Canis lupus familiaris: one gene and its partners. The protein of the gene in region 1 purifies or fractionates together with the protein of each later gene. This does not show direct contact. Links are inferred from orthologs where the notes say so. Each region holds a gene or a part of one and is shown in the gene's direction. Other genes may lie near its edges. The genes, in order: MAP3K5, ARRB1, MAP2K3, STUB1 and DAXX.

The links.
Region 2: the proteins of MAP3K5 (region 1) and ARRB1 purify together in Homo sapiens (affinity purification with western blotting; 3 studies listed by BioGRID and IntAct, with this or other methods). This does not show direct contact. The link is inferred for Canis lupus familiaris from reciprocal best matches to the Homo sapiens genes MAP3K5 and ARRB1.
Region 3: the proteins of MAP3K5 (region 1) and MAP2K3 purify together in Homo sapiens (co-immunoprecipitation; 4 studies listed by BioGRID and IntAct, with this or other methods). This does not show direct contact. The link is inferred for Canis lupus familiaris from reciprocal best matches to the Homo sapiens genes MAP3K5 and MAP2K3.
Region 4: the proteins of MAP3K5 (region 1) and STUB1 purify together in Homo sapiens (affinity purification with western blotting; 3 studies listed by BioGRID). This does not show direct contact. The link is inferred for Canis lupus familiaris from reciprocal best matches to the Homo sapiens genes MAP3K5 and STUB1.
Region 5: the proteins of MAP3K5 (region 1) and DAXX purify together in Homo sapiens (affinity purification with western blotting; 7 studies listed by BioGRID and IntAct, with this or other methods). This does not show direct contact. The link is inferred for Canis lupus familiaris from reciprocal best matches to the Homo sapiens genes MAP3K5 and DAXX.

The regions. Positions count from the first base shown.
Region 1 is NC_049222.1:29,533,573-29,537,775, reverse strand, and holds the start of MAP3K5 (mitogen-activated protein kinase kinase kinase 5), read left to right. Parts: upstream 1-1,403; 5' UTR 1,404-1,422; coding exon 1,423-1,846; intron 1,847-4,203. UniProt on the Homo sapiens protein: Serine/threonine kinase which acts as an essential component of the MAP kinase signal transduction pathway. Plays an important role in the cascades of cellular responses evoked by changes in the environment.
Region 2 is NC_049242.1:23,396,176-23,399,687, forward strand, and holds part of ARRB1 (beta-arrestin-1), read left to right. Parts: intron 1-222; coding exon 223-419; intron 420-1,920; coding exon 1,921-1,980; intron 1,981-2,803; coding exon 2,804-2,871; intron 2,872-3,512. UniProt on the Homo sapiens protein: Functions in regulating agonist-mediated G-protein coupled receptor (GPCR) signaling by mediating both receptor desensitization and resensitization processes.
Region 3 is NC_049226.1:42,945,236-42,949,267, forward strand, and holds the start of MAP2K3 (dual specificity mitogen-activated protein kinase kinase 3), read left to right. Parts: upstream 1-1,223; 5' UTR 1,224-1,378; coding exon 1,379-1,427; intron 1,428-4,032. UniProt on the Homo sapiens protein: Dual specificity kinase. Is activated by cytokines and environmental stress in vivo. Catalyzes the concomitant phosphorylation of a threonine and a tyrosine residue in the MAP kinase p38.
Region 4 is NC_049227.1:40,363,652-40,367,708, reverse strand, and holds STUB1 (E3 ubiquitin-protein ligase CHIP), read left to right. Parts: upstream 1-1,246; 5' UTR 1,247-1,359; coding exon 1,360-1,518; intron 1,519-2,074; coding exon 2,075-2,273; intron 2,274-2,365; coding exon 2,366-2,531; intron 2,532-2,591; exon of another isoform or gene 2,592-2,740; coding exon 2,741-2,828; exon of another isoform or gene 2,829-2,946; coding exon 2,947-3,003; exon of another isoform or gene 3,004-3,083; coding exon 3,084-3,200; intron 3,201-3,277; coding exon 3,278-3,403; 3' UTR 3,404-3,651; downstream 3,652-4,057. Other genes in the region: JMJD8 (jmjC domain-containing protein 8), read right to left, coding at 3,698-3,778, 3,853-3,987. UniProt on the Homo sapiens protein: E3 ubiquitin-protein ligase which targets misfolded chaperone substrates towards proteasomal degradation.
Region 5 is NC_049233.1:2,912,729-2,916,712, reverse strand, and holds the start of DAXX (death domain-associated protein 6), read left to right. Parts: upstream 1-1,180; 5' UTR 1,181-1,319; intron 1,320-1,463; exon of another isoform or gene 1,464-1,609; intron 1,610-1,615; exon of another isoform or gene 1,616-1,695; intron 1,696-2,487; 5' UTR 2,488-2,539; coding exon 2,540-2,746; intron 2,747-2,900; coding exon 2,901-3,729; intron 3,730-3,854; coding exon 3,855-3,984. UniProt on the Homo sapiens protein: Transcription corepressor known to repress transcriptional potential of several sumoylated transcription factors. Down-regulates basal and activated transcription.

The DNA.
Region 1 (4,203 bases):
GATGCTTTGCGGAGTGGGGTATAGATCCCTTATTCTGTCTCCTGAAAGCATAGGACACCGCGTGCGCGGGAGGGGGTACCTTTTAAGAACCTAAATGAGAGTGCTTCAGTCGTTCAGCAGTTAGGCCTAGTCAATTACTCATTAACGATAACATTGCCAGTGCAATTTTTTTTTTAATGGAAAGTAGCGGAGGCCGACCTGATAAGTTGTGCCAGCCACGGTCGGGAATCGATCGCCCGTTGCCGTCCAATATAGGCCCCCGCGGCGGGGCGCTAGAGGAAATCCTCCGGCCTTGCGCAACGCAGGCCCCTCGGCGCAGCCCAGCGCTGGAGCGCCGCGCGCCGAACCAGACCGCGCGCAGGGCGAGGCCGCCAGGCGCCGGACGGGGGCGCCCTGGCTGCGGGGACCGGGGCGAGAGCCTCCCGATAGCTCCGGAGCCCCGAGTGTTCTCCGGAGAGACTTTTTTTTTCTTTTTTTTCTTTTTCGTGCGCCGTGCTGCCTTCGCGCGCGCTCCAGGCTTTGGCCGACTCCGGGTCTTCTTAGGTGGGGGTCCGGTGGGTGACGGCGGAGCACTCCCGCCCCGCGCCGAGCCCGGGGCCTGGCCGAGGTCCGGGAGCCGCGGCGCGGCCGGTTTCGTCCCGGCTCCAGCTTCCCAGCAGCGCCCTCCCCCGGGGCGGGCCCTGACTCTCGGGGCCGCGACGAGTGGGCGGCAGAAGCCGGTGGCCCCCTGGGCGAGCGGCTGCGGGGAGCGGCGAGACCCAGCGGCGAGGCTGGCGCTGGGACGCAGCGGCCGCGGCGCGCTCGGGCGAGAAACGAGGCCAGGGGAGGAGGAGGAACTAGAGCCCATGAAGGGGAGCTGCCGCCGAGGAGGGAGGCGGGTCCTTTCGGCTGCGGCGGCTGCTGTTCCGGGACGCAGCCCGGGGAGCCTGCTCGCCCGAGAGGTGCTGGCCAGGTAGCTCCCCACCCAGCGGGCGCCCTCCCCGGCCCCTCCCAGCGCCCGGCACGCAAGGAGCGGGAGCCGCGCTCCGGGGGGCCAGGGCGCTCCGCACGGCGAGCGCGGCGCCCTTGAGCTGCACGGCGGCGCGGGCTCGCGAGCCGACTTGTCTGCCGGCAGCAGAAGGAAGCGCGGTCCCTTCCCGCTCACCCTGGCGTCCCCACCGCTCGTACTCTACACCCTGCCTCGGGCGAGCGGCGCGGCCACGGAGGCGCCGAGGAGGGGCGAGCCGCCGCCGGGTAGCGGCGTGCCCCCGGGAGAGAGGGCGCCGGAGAGGAGGCGGCGGCGCGGTGCGGAGGGCGCGACGCGCGATGGCAGCTGCTTAGCCCGGCGCGCGCGGAGCAGCCCGGAGCTGTGGCTGGCCAGACGGTGCGGCTGGGCTGGGGGGGGACGCCGCCGCCGCCGCCGCCGCAGCCCGGCCGGGAGAGATGAGCGCCGAGGCGGGCGAGGGCATCACTTTCTCCGTGCCACCCTTCGCCGAGGGCGGCAGCTGCCGGAGGGGAGGAGCGGCGGCGCCGGCCGAGGGCCCGGAGAGCCAACTACCACCGCCGCCGCCGGGCAGCTTCTGGAACGTGGAGAGTGCCGCCGCCCCGGGCGCCGGCTGTCCGGCTGCCACCTCTGCGAGCAGCGCCACCCGGTGCCGGGGCAGCTCTGGTGGCGGAGGCGGCCGACGGACCACGGTGGCTTATGTGATCAACGAAGCGAGCCAGGGGCAGCTGGTGGTGGCCGAGAGCGAGGCCCTGCAGAGCCTGCGGGAGGCGTGCGAGACGGTGGGCGCCACCCTGGAGACCCTGCATTTTGGCAAACTGGACTTCGGGGAAACCACGGTGCTGGACCGCTTTTACAACGCAGGTGCGTGTGCAGCCCCTTCCGCGTCCTCCACGGTCAGGGGCCACGTTCTCCCTGGCCGCCCGCAGCGGGGCAAGGTTTTCCTAGGCGGCAGGCGTGCTTCCTCCTTACCCACTTCTTGCCCCACCTTAGGGGCAGCGAGCGGCGCTGCGTGACTGCTCCGGGCGCTCGCTGCCCCCGGGGAAGAGTGGGTGCGGGTGCAAGATCCTGTGTACTTGTGCTAGACCGACTGGGTCACCCGCCGGCCCGCGCTGGAGCCGGTCCGGAGGCCCCTCCTCAAGAACTTTTCACTTCTAAAGTAGTGCGAGATAGTGGCCCCATCAGCCTTTGTCCATTTGGGGTCTTGGTTTCTCTTTTGCTAGGTTTGGCCCATTTCTCCCTTCTATATATACACCTGTGACTATTTTAGATGACGCTTTCATTTTTTCTCTGTGTGGTGTTGGGAGAACAGGAACCACGCAGCCCGCTGCTCTCAGAGTCTATCTATACGCATTTGCATGTCGTGTCGTGATCTTCCCAAGTCCTTTCACTCGAACATATTTAGTAGCTTGGATGTTCTAGTCTTAACCGATTTGAACTTCTAAGGAATTACTTCCAAAAGCAGTAACCTTGTCACTTGAACTAAACTTTCGTGGTGTCTTTGTTAGGATTTTGGTGGGAGAATATTATTACCCCATATACCACAATGAGCTGGAAAGTACATAATTTAACATTGTTTAAAATATTTACTATTTTAATAACTAAAAATTAGTTTGTTTAAAGGGAGTGCCACCAGCCCCGGTGGCGCAGCGGTTTAGCGCCGCCTGCAGCCCGGGGCGTGATCCTGGAGACCCTGGATCGAGTCCCACGTCAGGCTCTCTGCGTGGAACCTGCTTCTCCCTCTGCCTGTGTCTCTGCCTCTCCCTGTCTCTGTGTCTCTGAATAAATAAATAAAATCTTAAAAGAATAAATAAAATGTAAAATTAAAAAAATAGAGTGCCAATGTAATCCATAAAAAAGTTATCTTTTCAAGTATCACATATTTCAGAAACTGTCATTGCAGTTCTAGTGATTGATGCAATTAGCTATTTGCTTGCTAAAGTTGGGAATAATATTAACATGCTATTGAAGTTAACCTTTAGTACCCTGTACAACCAAATATGAGAACATACATGTATTTATTTTTTCTAAGTGTGGGCGGAAAATTTAACAGTGGTTTCAAACAATAAGATTCTTGCATTTGTGATCACGTAAAAGGTTTTATATTCCAAACTTGCTTTCAGTTCTGATTCTCTTCAGTCTCTTCAAAACACCTGAAGTAGGCTTATGTCAGCTTTGGAATTCAGCCAAAACTGAATATTTTTAAGAACCAGAAGAACTTCATGTTAAAGAAGTCAGACTAAATAAACCAGGGCTTTCTGGTGCTGGTATTTTTTTTACAGTCTTGGTCTTCAGAACTGAACCTGAGTATGATATATTATAGCTCAGTTTTTTGTGTGGCTTGCTATAAAAATTGCATAAATGTAACTTTTCTAAAAATTATAGCACTCTTATTTTTGGATTATAGTTTGGAAGAAACTTCAAAGAACTGAAAGATATGTGAGGAAAACACCCAAGCAAATACTGAGCCTATTTTTATTGCTCTGATAGATTCTGTATTTTTTATAGGACTCTAAAAAAATAAAAAATCTTAAACTCTAGGCTAATTTGGAAGATAGTTTCCTAACATGGCACAGTTACTGTTTGTTCTCCAAATAACTGTTTGTGGGAAAGAGACAAAGGAAGACTACAAGGGGACCGACATTTGAACTGTATCTTTAATCCCCCAAACAAGCCCATTAAGGAAGTACTTCTTATTCTTCTCAGATGAGGAAACCAAGGACTTTATAACTGGCCTAGACTTACAGGTAGTAACTGATCAATGCAGGGTTCCATTTCAGGTGGCTGACTCTAAAAGGTCATCTTTGCTGCTGCCTCCATTTAGCTGGGCTGATTTACTCTATCTTGGAATCATGTGATAGAGAGCTGGCGGGGACCTGGTGAGCCATTGAGGTGCAGCGTGAATCATGGGGAGGACACTTTGGGAAGACTCGTTTCTGAGCCATTCTGAGCCATCTCTCTCCCATCCATTGCTTCATTCAACCTGAGCAGGCCCCAGTTTAACCCCTACTTATGCTCATGGTAATGAACTCTGAGCCCTGTCATTGAGTCTGAAGATGTGACCAAATGAAGATGGTATGTTTTGTCCAAATCCTTTGTTTTTCTCAACTGACGGCTGCCAACTTGGATGGTAGTAGAACTTTTCTTCTGATTTCAGAGGGAGCGCTTGCTCCTCCTCCACCAGGGAAACAGTTTTCTGGGAAGGGCCAGATGGTAAATAT
Region 2 (3,512 bases), on another chromosome or scaffold:
CTGATCCAGCAGTCAGCCCTCACCTCCCCCTAGGGGCCAGGTCTGAGTGGTTCTCCTGGGTACCCAGTACCCCCATCCCGAGGGCTGCACAGCCTTCCCACACAGGAGCTTTGGGACAGACCTTTGAGCTCCAGTTGGGCCAATCCCAGGGCTCAGCTGGTGCTCTTGGGGGCTTGTTTGCTGCCCTCTTGGGCTCATCCTCCATGCCCCCTGCTCCCACAGTCTACGTGACACTGACCTGCGCCTTCCGCTATGGCCGGGAGGACCTGGATGTCCTGGGCCTGACGTTTCGCAAGGATCTGTTTGTGGCCAACGTGCAGTCCTTCCCGCCAGCCCCTGAGGACAAGAAGCCCCTGACACGGCTGCAGGAGCGCCTCATCAAGAAGCTGGGCGAGCATGCCTATCCTTTCACCTTTGAGGTTAGGGACTGCCAACTGCACCACCAGTAGGAAGCCCTGTGGGCAAGCACATGGGGACAGCTGGGGCAGCAGCTCCATGTCACTCAATTTCTCAGTGTACATTGGGACCTGGGGCACTGTCACTTATACTTCCTGGTAAGTGTCTCTTCTCTGGCCACTGCCAGGGGTGTCACCTTACCTCTGAGCTACTCCTTGGACCCTCCCGAGTCCAGCTCGTGGCGGGAGAGAGCCGGGTGGGCAGAGGCTGCAGAGAAAGAAGGAGCCCTTTCTCACCTCTGAATTACTACAGGACTGTCTCCTCCCTCAGACCAGCTGCCCGCATGCCCAGCTTCGGCCCAGCTCCAGCTGAGCTCCAGCGCAGCTCATTAATGAGGGATGGCATGTAGTGATTTCCCTGCTCTGCCACTTTTCCAAATGGAAAGACTCCCAGATTCTGGATTTTAAAACTTCCTGTTTCTCAGACTCTGATTCTGTGATTCAGTGAAATCCCCTGGCTTTCTGGGAAACCAGAGGAGAGACATTACAGTCATCCTGTCCATGGCAGATGTATTGGTTTCCTGTGGCTGCTGTAACAAACAAGCTGCTGCCAACCTGGTGGGAATTAAATGTGACCATTAAAACACAAGTTTCTGACCTTACAGTTTTGGAGGTTACAAGTCAAAACAAACAAACAAACAAACAAACAAACAAACAAAAAAACAGGTTGCACTGGGCTAAAATCAAAGTGTCAGCAGGGCTGTATTCTTTCTGGAGGCTCTAGGCCTTGCCTTTTCCAGCTTCTAGAAACTGCTTGTGTTCCCTAGCTTGAAGCCTACCCCTCTGTCTTCAAAGCCAGCAATGGCTGGTCAGTCTTTCTTGCAGCCCACCACTTTGACACCGACTCTTCTGTTTCCTGCTTTCCCTGCTAAGGTCCATTGTGATTACATCGGGCACACCTGGATAACTCGGGCTACTCTCCCCATCTCAAGAGTTTTAACTTAATCACACCTGTAAAATCCCCTTTGCCAAGTAAGGTAGCAGTTGAAGGTTCTGGGGATTAGAAGGTGGGCACCTTTGAGGGGGTGGGGGGGCTTGTTCTGCCTACTACAATCTAGGCAGAACACTTTATTTTAATTTTTTTTTTAAGATTTTATTTATTCATGACAGACACACAGAGGCAGAGACACAGCAGAGGGAGAAGCAGGCTCCATGCAGGGAGCCCAATGCGGGACTCGATCCCCAGACCCCAGAATCCCAACCTTAGCCGAAGGCAGACAGTCAACCACTGAGCCACCCAGATGCCCCTAGGCAAAATCCTTTAGATAAAGAAAAGCACTGAAATCCTTGGCTTTACTGGAGGGCTTCTGGCCCAGTGTGGGGCATCCTTGGCATGGTCTGATGGGGGAGACATGGCCTGTTGCTAGGGCCCCCTGGTCTGATAAATGTGTGTGGGGGTGGTGGGTGGGCAACATGAGGAGCTCAATGGTCAATGTGACAGGAGACCTGTCTGTCCTCTTAACAGATCCCTCCAAACCTCCCGTGCTCTGTGACATTGCAGCCAGGGCCTGAAGACACGGGGAAGGTGGGTCACGTCTCTGGAAGCCTCTCTCCGGGTAAAGGACATTTGTATCCCCAGGGCCCTGGCTTTCTGAGAGGCATCGGAACTCTGTGTGGAAGCCTCCCTGTGTGGAAGCCACTTCAACACTGCCTCAGATAAGCCGGCTCTTTTCATACAGGGCAGCAGGCAGATAGGGTGTCATCCTCACCCCCGCATTCCATTACATGCAGTCTCTCCTGGGCTTACTGTTGGCTGCAGCAGAACCAAAATGTTCTCTGGACTACCTCTTGGCCTCACAACCTTGCATGGGGGTCCATTCACTGTGGTCTCACAAGTGGAGAAATGGAGGCTCCAAGAGAAGTGACACTACTAGTGTCACAGGCCCCAGATCTCTGAGCCCCCTTGTCTTCACCTGCAAAATGGAGATGAGAGGCTATGCCTCCTCCTGCAGTTTAGAGGGTGGAGTGAGCCACCAGAGCACTGTTGGGTCTGCACATAGTCTGTGCTCCCCTCCTAGGACTGCTGAGCACCCCCATTGTTATTGCCGAGTGGCTGCCTTAATGAGGACAGCTGCCCAGACCAGGCAGGTGTCTGCAGGGTGGAGCCCAGTTAGGGCAGTTTGGGACACCCAGTGTTGGGGGAGCTAGGGGAGCTCTGTGGGAAGGCCAGGTGGGGTTGGGGTGCAGCACAGCACTGGGGCTGAGGCCGATCACAGGGTCCTGAATCAGGCTGAGGGGCGGTTGGCCTGTGAAGTTTGCTATTCCCCTCCAGGGTCCTGGTTTGTAAAATAAGAGGGTGGGATGGCTGTGCTGTCGGGACCCTGTGGTCAGCAGCCCCTTCTCCTCAGGCCTGTGGTGTGGACTACGAGGTCAAAGCCTTCTGTGCCGAGAACCTGGAGGAAAAGATCCACAAGCGGTGAGAAGGGCACAGCTTCCGCTGGGTGTGGGCTGCCTACTGGCAGAGGGAGAGAGACAAGACCAGCAAAGTCAGAGAAGAGATAAGTAACAATACCTGGAAGTGTGTGAGGAGGGGCCGCATATTCCAGCCCCAGAAACTCCAAGAAGGGCCCTCTGGAAGGCTGGCAAGTCCTGGAGGGGTTCCTGGAGAAAGTGGCTCAACTGTCTGGGGCTTAGGGCTCAGGCCTCAGGCCTCAGGATTTCTCCCTTTACAATGCTGAACCTGCCTCCTCCATCACCCTGCTTCAAGTCTTGCCCCATGAGACTGCATGTTTTTATTTTATTTTGGAAAGAAACACAAAATTTGGATCATTTTAAAGAGTGAGCAAGAGTTTTTTCCAGCCACCCTGAACCCCTACTTCCTACTTCTCCTGGGAAGCCATCAGCAGCAGGTGGTAGTGGGGGCGGCAGTGGGGTGTGGGATGGGTCAGCCCACGTGTCAGAAGAGGTAGTGTTCTCTAGAGAGGCACAGCCCTGGGCAGACAGTCCAGACTGGCAGCTGGAAACAGCTGGACCTGACTTCTGAGATAGACTGCCCAGCCCTGCTCTCGTGCCTGTTCCTCCTCAAGGCAGGCCCTGCCCTGTCTTCTGGCGAGGAGG
Region 3 (4,032 bases), on another chromosome or scaffold:
CTTTTTACTAATGGGCAAGCAGAGGTCAGCTCCCCGCTCCAAGCATTTCTAGCAGGTGGTGGAATCTGCTTCCCTCACGTGAGGTCCCTGGCAGGCAGCACACTCATGCCTGCCCAGAGGCGAGGGGCTGACCCGTTGACCTCTGCCAGGCGCTTCCTGCCCTCGCTAGCCCATAGCTTTGCATCTGAGTCACCTGATCCCCAGGCCAGATTGCTCGGTGGCTCCTAAAATCCCCCTAGACTCCACAGGGGAGAAGGGAGGACTGGCCTGGGTGGCTATTACATGCTATGCAGTCTGTATGTCCAGAAGGAGGCCCGGAGGGCAGAGGAGAAGAGAACCAAAGGCCCACCTTACTCCCCCTGAGACTCCGTCTCCCGTGTAGAGGAGGGACCTTGAAGACCCAACCCCTAGCGCTACATGTACTGGCTTCCCGGTAGGTAGTCCCCCACTGTGACCCACCCCTTCCCCGGTGCCTGACCCCCGGCGGGCGCTCAGAGGAGGTTTGCAGAGGCAGGGAAGAGAGGTGCGGACCCCGGGCACTGTGCCTAAGCCCTTGACAACACTGGGTCCCCCAGGACTGCCTGCAAGGGCCGCCCGGTTCCCCCGCGCAGCGCCGGGAGGCCGGGCCCTTCTGGTCTCCTTCCCACAGAGGCAAAGACCGAGCTGGGCTCCAGGGGCTCCCTGGCTTGCCCAAGGTCACGGGCGCTGGAGAGTGGCCAGGTAGGGATCCGGACGCAGGGCTCGCCCCGGGGGCGCACTCTAACCCCCCGTCCCCCAGCCCCGCCACCCTGGGATACCAGGGGATTGTCCCAGGGGACGCCACACACCCAGCCGTGCCCGCGGAGCTCACCGGCCGGGCGCTGCGGGGCGGGGCGGGGCGGGGCGGGGAAGGCGGGGCGGGGCCTGGTGCCTGAGGGCGCGAGCCGGGCTCGGCCAATCCCGGGCAGTGGGCGGGGCTTGCGTCTTGACAGGCGGCGGGAGGGGCCGGCGCTGGCCCCGAGGGGGCCCGGGTTTCCCGGCTGGAGGGCGGGGCTCGACAGGCAGTGGGAGGAGCCGGGTGCGGGGCGGGAGGGGCGAGGCGGGCGCTTGACGGGCACGCCGGGCCGGCCTCTGATAGGCAGGGGACGGGCCCCGGAGACTGGCGGGCCAATCGGCGCGCGGGGGCGGGGCTGTCGTCGGCGCCGTCCGGCCGGGGCCCCCGCGGCGCTGCCCAGTCTGGCTCCGGCACCGCCCGTCGCGGACGCGCTCTCGCCGCCCCCGCCTGCGCACCGCCGCCGCGCCCGGGCCCCCTGCCCGCAGCCATGAGCGCTCTCCACCCGGGGGGAGCCCGCCGCCCTCTAGATTAGTTCCTGCCACCGCTCCTGGACCCGCCTGCACCATGGAGTCCCCCGCCTCCAGTCAGCCCGCTAGCATGCCCCAGACCAAAGGTAGGAATGCCCGGGGGGAGCGCGGCTCCCCGGTCGCGCCCGGACCACGAACCCCAGGCTGTCTGTGGGACCCTGTTGCAACCCCCGTCCGGGACCCGGGCAGCACTGCGGCTCGGAATCCTTCCCCATTCGGGTCTCGATCTCAGCCTGGACCTCACCTGGACCCCCCCCTCCCCCGCCCCGTTCGGGCCTGGGGACTGCACTCAGATCAGACCCGATCTCGTTCCGGTGACCCCGCTCCAGGTCAGAAACCTCACTCTGACCTCCTCATTTAGGCCTTAACTGCACCCAGAACAGGAATTCTCCCCGTCTGGGTCCTTCTGCTGGATCCAGGTGGGAATCACTCGGATCCTGCACCCAGGGCCCCCTTCCACTCCCCTGGTCCCAGGGCTGTATCCACGCTGGGATTTAAATGACTCCCCATCTGAGCCCCAGCAGTGCTGCTTTGCGGGGGGGAATCTCACTGTACACCCCCCGCTCCCCATGTGGGTGCCCTGGCTACACTCCAGCCAAGAACTCACTCCTCTTCCCCAACTCTCTCCATCCACATAGGCCCCATCCCTGGCCAGCTTGCAGCCCTGCAGCCTTGTCCCCCAGGAACCTCTCTTGGCCTTCCACCCCACGCTAACACAAGCCCCCTCTCCATCAGCTTCTCCTTGTCTTGACTTGCAAGCTTCTCTCTGCACTTGGGGAGCTCACCCCCTTTTGCTCCCCTGTATCTCCAGGGTTAATGGATACTGGACTTGTCCCTGCTGCCTCTGAGTTCTGGGTCAGCCGCTAGGCCAGGGTGCTGGCTGTGCAATGGGCTCACTTTAGTCTTCTCCAAGTAGCTGGCCTTCCTGGAAATTTTTGTGAGGTGGCGGCTGCAGCGTCAAAGCGGCAGGATTTGTCATGCGGGGCAGGGGGGGGAGGGGGGTGAAACTTGGAGGGTGAAAGGGGGATTTTGTGTGTGTGTGTGTGTGTGTGTGTGTGTGCGCGTGCATGGGGAAGAGGAAAGGATGTTTTTGGCACGTCAGAGCCTCAGCAGGCTAGGCTGTGTGAGATTTCCAAACCGGACATAGCTGTAATGAATGGGCTGCCCCTTGGGCCTCTAAACCTGCCTCTTCCTCACCCCAACAGCAGGAGTATCTCTGGGCCTCAGTTTCCTTATCTGTAAAATGGAAGTAATCACACATACCTTGTGTGGATTGCTGGGTATGATATGAGGTAGCAAATACTAAAGAGTTTCATGCAAGCATGGGCGAGGAGAAGAGTGCAGCATGATGCCTGGCACACAGTAGGTGCTGAGCCAGGGACAATAATTGCCCACACCTTGTTACCGTTCTCCTCAGCCATGTGGGGTCAAGGCCTTGGCTCTGTTTGCATTGCAGCTGCAGAGTGAGGTGGAGAAAGGTAACTGATGTCACTCAGTGGGCCTCTACTCAGGGCTTGATCCTACCTCTGTTTCTCTAGAGGGGCTCAGGCAGCAGGAGGGCTGAGGGGTCCCAGGGAGGGTGTGGGTCCATCTCTACCCCTGCTGCCTGTGGCTGCGGTGGCTGTTAGCCAGAGCCTGGCCGGCCTGGTGGGCAGGATAATTACGTCTTACGTAAGTGGGAGGCCGGATCCCTGACCATTGCCCAACCACTGTGAGTAACTCAGGAGGCACTCAAGGGGGGAGGTGGCCGGGGAGGGACTTGGCCTGCACGGACCTCGTGGAGCTTGGGAACTGGGAAATCATATGCTTTGCCATTTTGGAGAACTAGGACCCCAGACACTTCTTTTGTCTAGTGTGGGGTCTCTGCCTGGCTTGGTCAGTGCCATGGGACTTCCAGCAGGTCCCTCAACTTCTCTGGGCCACAGTGTTTTCATGGGCAGAAGGACACAGTTGGAAGCAGTGTTTGTCTTCCGATGCTCAGATGCTCGTTCAGCTGCTTCCAGGCAGGGAATACCTCATCACAATAAAAGTTGTAGAGTTGTGAAGGGAGAGGGGTCAAAGGTGTGAAGGGAAAAGGAACTTGGGGGAGGCACTGCTTGATTCCTGTGTGCTGTGTGACTTGAATCCTGGTGTTGCCCTCTCTGAGCCTCTCTGCAGAGATTAACAAGATGAATTTCCAGTTTGTGGGTCCAGGTAATACCTGATAGTGTGTGGGTTAGATGGAGGGACAGGTACTTCTGCAAAGCTCAGGGACCTTATCAGCCTCTTTAGGGTCTGTGGAAAGATATGGTGGGGAGCCATGACACCCCCTCACCAAAAAATCTGAGAGCTGCCACTTATCAAGCTTTTTTCCATGTTCCATGTGCTCTCCCATTTATTCCTCGAAGCCCCATTTACAGATGAGGAAATTGAGGCTTGGAGATGGTCAGTGCCTTGCCTGAGCTCATACAGCTGTGACAGGTGCAGCTATGTCTCTATCCAGGACTGTGTATCTCCAAAGGTCTCCCCCGTGCTCCTTTATGTCCCATTCCTGTCCTTGATGCTCCAGCAGAGCTAATGGGACGTCCCCCATTCCCCCACCCCGCCATCCCAGCTGGTGGGACCCTATGTTATGCCTTTGTCTAGTCTGCATCTCCTCCAGGCCTGGCCTTACCTGGAGTGGGGACTGAGCTAGGGGTGATGCCTCTTGTG
Region 4 (4,057 bases), on another chromosome or scaffold:
AGCCTTACATCAGCCCTGGCCACCCCCTCCCAGGCCTGGGGACATAGGACTGCCTGGCCAGGCAGTGGAGGTCCCCAAGTGTGGCCCTAGGGAGACCCTGCCCCTGCCTCTCCCCCACAACTTGCGGTCTGAGCCTTTTTGGAGAATGAATAAATATTTTACACAGCAGGAGGTGGCTGCAGTGGGCTCTGGGGGCTGGCCCCAGGGGCCCGCCCGGCCCTCGCACGGCAGCCCAAGCTCTCCCGGTGCTCCCTGCACCCAAACCAGGCGTGCGCGTGTGGCGGGTGTGCGAGGAGCTGGGGTCCTCACAGGCAGCGGAGACTGCAGCCCAGCCGGTCGCCCGCCCTCCGAGAACCCTGTGGCCCGGGCCCAGCAGGGTTCAGCCAGCCTGGCTTCTCTGCGCTTCTGGGCCGGCGCGGTGTCCTTGCGGGTGGCCAGGCTGGGGCGGGTCCCACGCGGGGAGGGGTCCCGGGCCTGAGGTCCCGCCCGGGCGGGGACAGAGGGGGGCGGGGGCCCGGGCCCAGGCCATGCGGCGCTCGGGCCGGCTCTGCCTGCCGCATGCACCCCGCCTCCCCAGGGCCGCGGGCGGCGGGCGCGCGGCGGCCTCGGAGCTCCTGCAGCCGGGGCTCGAGCCTCGCCAGCGTCTGGGCAGGCGGCTCCCGCGCACCCCCGGGGTCACGGCCACGGGCCCCCCGGCAGGCGACGACACTCACCGGCCGGGCCGAGGTGGGCTGGGCGGGGTGGGTGGGGGAACCTCACCCGGAGCCCCGCCCCCCGCTTCCACGCCGGCGGCCACGTGCTCCTCCGCTCCGCCCCCGGTGGCCGCGGGGAGCCCTCTGGGGCCTGGGGAGGGCGGCGACGGAGCCTCGGGCAGCGGGGTTCGGCCGTCCTGCCACCGCTCCAGAGCTTCCAGCCGTCCCTGGCGGCCGCGGCACCTCCCCGTGCGGCGCCAGGACCGCAGCCCCGCGGCCCTCAAGGCCCCACGGCCGCGCAGCCAGCCGGCGGCCGCCTAGTCCGCGCGGGGCGGGGCCTCGGCGGGGCGGGGCCTAGGCGGGGCGGGGCCTCGGCGGGGCGGGGCCGCGCTTGTCGCTGTCCCGGACGTCCGACGTCGCGGGTCGCGTTCCCTCGAGCGCATGCGCCCAGTCGGTCCCGCCCCCCCTTGCCTCCGCGGCCCGTCGGACGCAGGCGCGCCCCCGCCCGTGCCGCTGGCCCCGCCCCGCGCGGCCGGAAGTTCCGGTGGCGGATCGCTGGACCGGGCCCGAGCGGATCGCGGGCTCGGGCTGCGGGCTCGGGCTGCGGGCGCAGGGCGGGCCAGACGCGGAGCCTGGGAGCGAAGCCCGGGCTGTGCCGCGCGGCGCTATGAAGGGCAAGGAGGAGAAGGAGGGCGGCGCGCGGCTGGGCGCCGGCGGCGGAAGCCCCGAAAAGAGCCCGAGCGCGCAGGAGCTCAAGGAGCAGGGCAACCGGCTCTTCGTGGGCCGCAAGTACCCGGAGGCGGCGGCCTGCTACGGCCGCGCCATCGTGAGTGCGCCCGCGCCGGGGGAGGGGGCCGGCGTCCGGGCGGGGGAGTGGGCGGGGCCCGGCTCGCGGCCCCGCGTCCTCCCCGGAGCCCCTGCCCCGCCGCTCCCGCCGGACCCTCGGGGCGGTCTTGGTTCGCCCGCGGGGGCGTTTGGGCCCCGAGAACTCGGTGCTGATCATGTTCCAGTCGAGCCAAGGCCGCGCGGTTCTCGAGCCAGTGCTGGTTGCTGGAGGGGCGGGTGGGAGCTTGAGGGGTGCTCGAGGCCCCAGGCCGGGACCAGGGTTCCTGTCCCTTGAGAAGCCCAGGCCCGAAGCTGGGGCTCTCCTCAGGTCCGGGAACCTCACCTTTACAAAACCTCCTGGGAGCCCCGAGAGGGTGGGCTAGCGCAGGCCTGAGGACCGGGAGTTCACTCTACAGCCCTAGCTGAGCAGAGGCTTCCAAGCTGAGAAATTTCTAGTGTCTGGATTTTAGCTACGGGCTCCCAGACCAGGACAGGGCCTAGGACAGGGCCCACGGAGCTTTTTCCCTCATGCTGGCTGGCCTGGCCTTGGTCCCCAGACCCGGAATCCTCTGGTGGCCGTGTACTACACCAACCGGGCGTTGTGCTATCTGAAGATGCAGCAGCATGAGCAGGCCCTGGCTGACTGCCGGCGGGCTCTGGAACTGGACGGGCAGTCTGTGAAGGCACACTTCTTCCTGGGGCAGTGCCAGCTAGAGATGGAGAGCTATGATGAGGCCATCGCCAACCTGCAGCGAGGTGGGCCTACAGGTTGTCAGGGGACGGCGGGGGCGCCTGGGACCAGGTGGATGGACTGGCCAGAAGGTGACCTGAAGCCCCTGTTCCCCCAGCCTACAACCTTGCCAAGGAGCAGCGGCTCAACTTCGGGGATGATATCCCTAGTGCTCTGCGCATCGCCAAGAAGAAGCGTTGGAACAGCATCGAGGAGCGGCGCATCCACCAGGAGAATGAGCTGCACTCCTACCTCACTCGGCTTATTGTGGCCGAGCGGGAGAGGTGGGCTGTGGTAGCGGCAGGCTCCAGGGCCCCACCCACCCCCAAGGCAGCACTCTGGGGTTAACTGAGTCAAGAACACAAGTGTTTATTGAAGGCCAGCACTGGCGAGCAGTTGGAGGGAAGAGAGACCTGAACAAGCCTGAGGTTGGGGTGGAGTGTGATCTCTTCTGGCCAGACCCATTCCTGACTAGCTCCTGGTCGACCCCCAGGGAGCTAGAAGAATGCCAGCGGAACCACGAGGGTGATGAGGATGATGGCCACGTCCGGGCCCAGCAGGCCTGCATCGAGGCCAAGCACGTGAGGGTGCCCCAGCCCACGTGTGGATGTGTGCGTGTTTGCGTGCCTGTGACTGGAGGGTGCCCGGGGGAGGGGGAAGGGGCATTTGGCCCACGCGTAGCTGCTTGGTTCTCCGCAGGACAAGTACTTAGCAGACATGGATGAGCTTTTCTCCCAGGTGGACGAGAAGAGAAAGGTAAGCTGTCTGTCCTCTGGGTAGCAGGAATCGGAGCCGGGTCCCCATCCTGGTGCCTGACCTGACTCCATGTGCCACAGAAGCGAGACATCCCGGACTACCTGTGTGGCAAGATCAGCTTCGAGCTTATGCGGGAGCCGTGCATCACGCCTAGTGGCATCACCTACGACCGCAAGGACATTGAGGAACACCTGCAGGTGAGAGCCAACAAGAGTGGGGAGCAGGGCCCGTAACCACTGAGCACTTTCTGACCTGCTGTCACTGCACACTGCAGCGTGTGGGCCACTTTGACCCTGTCACCCGGAGCCCCCTGACCCAGGAACAGCTCATCCCCAACCTGGCCATGAAAGAGGTCATTGATGCATTCATCTCCGAGAACGGCTGGGTGGAGGACTACTGAGGCCAGGCGAGTGCCAGAGCTGCCTGCCTTGCCTAGTACCCTGGCCCAGGTGGGCTTTGGGGCAGTAGCTCCCAGTTCCTGTACATAGTTTGTGTCCCTAGATCCCTGCCCTGGTGTCCCTTATCCCACCCTCATCAGTTCTGCTGCTGGACCATGAGCCCCACCTCCACCCCCTTCTGGGCCAGAAACAGCAGGTGAGGGTGGGCTGCTGCCACCACTGTCCTGTAATAAAACCTGTGAGCACTATAGGGGTGTGTGCTGGTGTGTGCTGGGCTCACCAGCCGCCCACTCTACCTAGCCGAGGAAAGTAGAGATAAAAACACTGGTGTCCAGGTTGAGCGTAGCATGCCACCACCGGTCAGGGAAATACAGCACCTGGTGGAGGGTGGGGCACAAGGATTAGCTGGTGGCGTGTGATCCAGCCTGACCCCTTCCTGCCACCTACTGACCTCACCAGCCTGCACGGTGCACTCCAGGGGCCTCTCAGATGGTGCCAGGGTTGGGTACACGTCCTGAAGCCAGGCCAGTGTGGTTTTGTTGGGGTGGAACTCAGGTGTCTTCTCAGGGGGATACAGGAACCAGCGCTGAGGGTGAGATCAGCCCGTCACTCCATGTTGGCAGGCAGTAAGCCCCAAGCCGCAGCCCCGGCCCGTG
Region 5 (3,984 bases), on another chromosome or scaffold:
GATGCAAATCTTCAATTTGTAAAAAACACATATCTGTGAAGCACAATAAAAGGAGGTATGCTTGCATGCATTTTTTTTTTTTTTTTAAGAGGGAGCAAGTCTATTATAAAAGGGAACCGGAAGAAAGAAAACCTTTACTTGCAGGCATTTACTCAGATCAATTTTGGGAAAGTCGAGAATCTGTAAATTAAATTCCTATGTCTCCTAAGTCTGCGTACCCTTTTGGGGAGTTTTCGTATTCCCTAATTTGAAGACTGTAGGCTTACATATGGTGTGGGATTCTTTAATGGCAGTGAGGGTTTGAGGTTCTGGTACTCTGTGGTCCTAGAAAGTGGCAAGATACTCACCACTTGTGGAATGTGACGCAGGGGAGGAGAATCTCCGTGTTAACCGGTGTGACTTCCCCATAAGCTCGTATTTGGACCCAACGTGGCCTCCACGAGTCCTTCCGGCCTCTTTAAAGTTGGGTGAGGTGCGGGTGTGGGCGAGGGGGCGTCAGTCAGTTTCTTGTCTCCCCGTTCTTTTCTCAGCTCTCCCAGAGGAAGAGGAAGAGACCAGTGGAGACTCAAGGTATTTTACAAGTCTCATTTCATCCAACAGCGGCAATTTGCACAGATTCTCCTCAAAGCCCCCGCCCCACATCGCGGTCCTATGGCCCTGGAGCTCCTGGACAAGGCACGGCCTCCAGGTCATCACTGCATGCACCTCGGGCACCCCACCAGAAAGGAACGGAGAACCACCTAGGTCTCACCTGCTGGGTGGGTCATTAGTTCCTTGGAGGCGCTTAAAACGAAGTCAATAACAATAGTAATAATAATAATAACAAATTTGTGTAGCGAATTGTGCTCGTTTGTATGCATGTGTTATGATTTCACTATTGGGAGGTGTGGGCACGGGGAAGTAGAAGTAGCTGCTGGACAGCGGCTGGGGAGCGCGCAGCCTGCAGAAAGGAAAGGGCAGGCGCAGTAGATGAAGCCGCGGAAAGGGTACCTGGCAGGTAGGAAAGCGGCGCCGGAAGGCTGGTCAATGGCCCAGCGGAAGGAAGAGGGTTTTTTTCCCTCTTAGGAGATTCTCGCTCTCCTATGCACCCCTGCACAGTCTTGGAGGGCCCAATTCCTTAGCTGTCCTGTTCCGTCCTCCCCTCCCCTACTTGGAAAGGTGGCTCAGTCCTTCCAGCACGCGACCCGCCGGCGGTTGGGCTGGATGCAGGAAGTTTCTGATTGGTGGAGTCGCAGAAGCACCGGGCGAAAAGAGCTCCGTCGGTGGCGCCCCCGAGTTCGGGCGTAGCCAGTACCGTACGGCAAGATGGCGGCCCCCAGGTACTTTGGGACGTCCTGCGGGGACAAGCCCGCCCTCTACTGGTCATAGGAAAGAGAGCGGCATACTCTGTGGGCGGCACTGGGCGGGGGGGCGGGCCTACCGCCACTTCCTGCCTCAGGGGGGCCGGGCGCCGTACGAAAATATGGCCGCGTCTAGGTGTCCGTAGGCGGAAACTCCGCGACTTCCGGTCCAGAGAAGGGCCTGCGGTGGGTGGGGGAAGGAAGGCGGAGGGAACCCTGCGAGGTTCTGAGATCAGCAGCGAGGGTCGCCTCGAGAGACCGTTTCTGAGGTGGGGGCCGGACCGTGCGGGGAGCGAAGGCAGGGGCGGGAATGTCGAGGGAGAGGTACTGGGGAGTCCCAGGCGCTGAGTCTGAGGTGCAAGCTGTGGTACCTTCCTTCCAATCCCTGAAGGGGAATGGGGCGGCCGGGGGCTGAACTGGGGGAGGGGGACTTGGCGGGAAGCTCATTCGGGGGAAGGGGTCGGATGCGGGGTTGGGATCTGAGAGGAATCCGGAGAGCTCAGTACTGGGCTCACAATCGGTTACAGGTCACAGAGAGAGAATGGGGGAATTCGGGTGGGGTGAGAGGGAGGGGACTTGAGGTGAGATCTCTCCAACCTAACGTCCCGGTTTGAGGAGACCCGTCAGAGGGTGGAATGTGAGAATAATCCCAGGAGGGGAAACGGGAGTGGATTGTTGGGAGAGAACCTCCTTCGCCTCTGAGAGTCTAGGAGTTGGGGGTGATCCTTCAGGATGGGATGAGGGTGTGGATTTGACGTGTTTGAGAGCGAAAGGGGGAAGGCTGGTGAGGTGGTGCTGACGGGGATGTGGTATCTGTGCGAGGGAATGTCGAGGAAATCCAGAGTGCACACGTGCAGGAGGTGGTCGAGAGATTGGAAAAGTCAACTTGGCAAGTATGAGAGATAGTGGGGAAACTGGATCTCGACAGAAGGGGTAGAGCTGGGGGTGGGGACTTAAGGTTTTCAGGTGGTTTCAGGTAGTGAAAGGTCAGAAAAGTGTCTGGTACTAGTGGTTGCTGAAGTTAGGCAGTGAGGACACTGTTGAGCAGGGCTGGGTGTTACTGAAACCCAAGAAGATTGGAAAATGTGTGAGATGAAGGGAGGGGCTATGCTGGAGGGGCTCTTTCTGAGGCCCCATCCCCTTCCAGCAGGAATTCCGAAATCCCCAACACTTCCTTCCTCCGGGGGATTTGATCCCCCATGGCCACCGCTAACAGCATCATCGTGCTGGATGATGATGACGAAGATGAAGCAGCTGCTCAGCCAGGGCCCTCCCACCCACCCCCCAATCCGGCCTCACCCCAGGCAGAAGCCCCTGGCTCCTCCCAGCCCCATGGGGCTGGAGGAAGCAGTAGTTCTGGCGGCAAGAAATGCTACAAGTTGGAGAATGAGAAGCTGTTTGAAGAGGTGAGCTTTAGGGGAGAAGATTCTTGTGCCCCAGGGAGGGGGATGGCTGACTGGCTCTGTAGTCCTTTCTTCCCCACTAATCCCGCCTTGCCTTCTTTCTCTCAACCCCTCCCCTTGTCTCTTCCCCCCTCCCTTCTTCTCCTGAAACCTCCAGTTCCTTGAACTCTGTAAGATGCAGACAGCAGACCACCCTGAGGTGGTCCCATTCCTCTATAACCGGCAGCAGCGTGCCCACTCTCTGTTTTTGGCTTCGGCGGAGTTCTGCAACATCCTCTCTCGGGTCCTATCCCGGGCCCAGAGCCGGCCAGCTAAGCTCTATGTCTACATTAATGAGCTCTGCACTGTTCTCAAGGCCCATTCAGCCAAGAAGAAGCTGAACCTGGCCCCTGCTGCCACCTCTAGTGAACCCTCTGGGAATAACCCTCCCACAGACCCCTCCTCGGACCCCACAAATGCCGAGACCACTGCCTCTGAGGCACCAAGGACCCGTGGTTCCCGGCGGCAGATCCAGCGCTTGGAGCAGCTGCTAGCGCTCTATGTGGCAGAGATCCGGCGGCTGCAGGAAAAAGAGTTGGATCTCTCAGAATTGGACGACCCAGACTCCACATACCTGCAGGAGGCAAGGTTGAAGCGTAAGCTGATCCGCCTCTTTGGGCGGCTTTGTGAGCTCAAAGACTGCTCTTCCCTGACGGGCCGTGTCATAGAGCAGCGCATTCCCTATCGTGGCACCCGCTACCCAGAGGTTAACAGGCGCATTGAGCGGCTCATCAACAAACCAGGGCCAGATACCTTCCCTGACTATGGAGATGTACTGCGGGCTGTGGAGAAGGCAGCTGCTCGGCACAGCCTTGGTCTTCCCCGACAGCAGCTCCAGCTCATGGCTCAGGATGCCTTCCGAGACGTGGGCATCAGGTTACAGGAGCGACGTCACCTTGATCTCATCTACAACTTTGGCTGTCACCTCACAGATGACTACAGGCCAGGTAGGGATTAGTGAGATGCCTACTGGTAACCCTTGTATGTCAGATGTTTGGTGGAGGGAGCATCTCTCTAGTCCCTTCTTCTAGGGTTTGGGCTGAGTACTCTGACTTTATATCTTCTCATGTAGGCATTGACCCTGCACTGTCAGATCCTGCCCTAGCCCGGCGCCTGCGAGAAAACCGGAGCTTGGCTATGAGCCGGCTGGATGAGGTCATCTCCAAATATGCAATGATGCAAGACAAGAGTGAGGAGGGTGA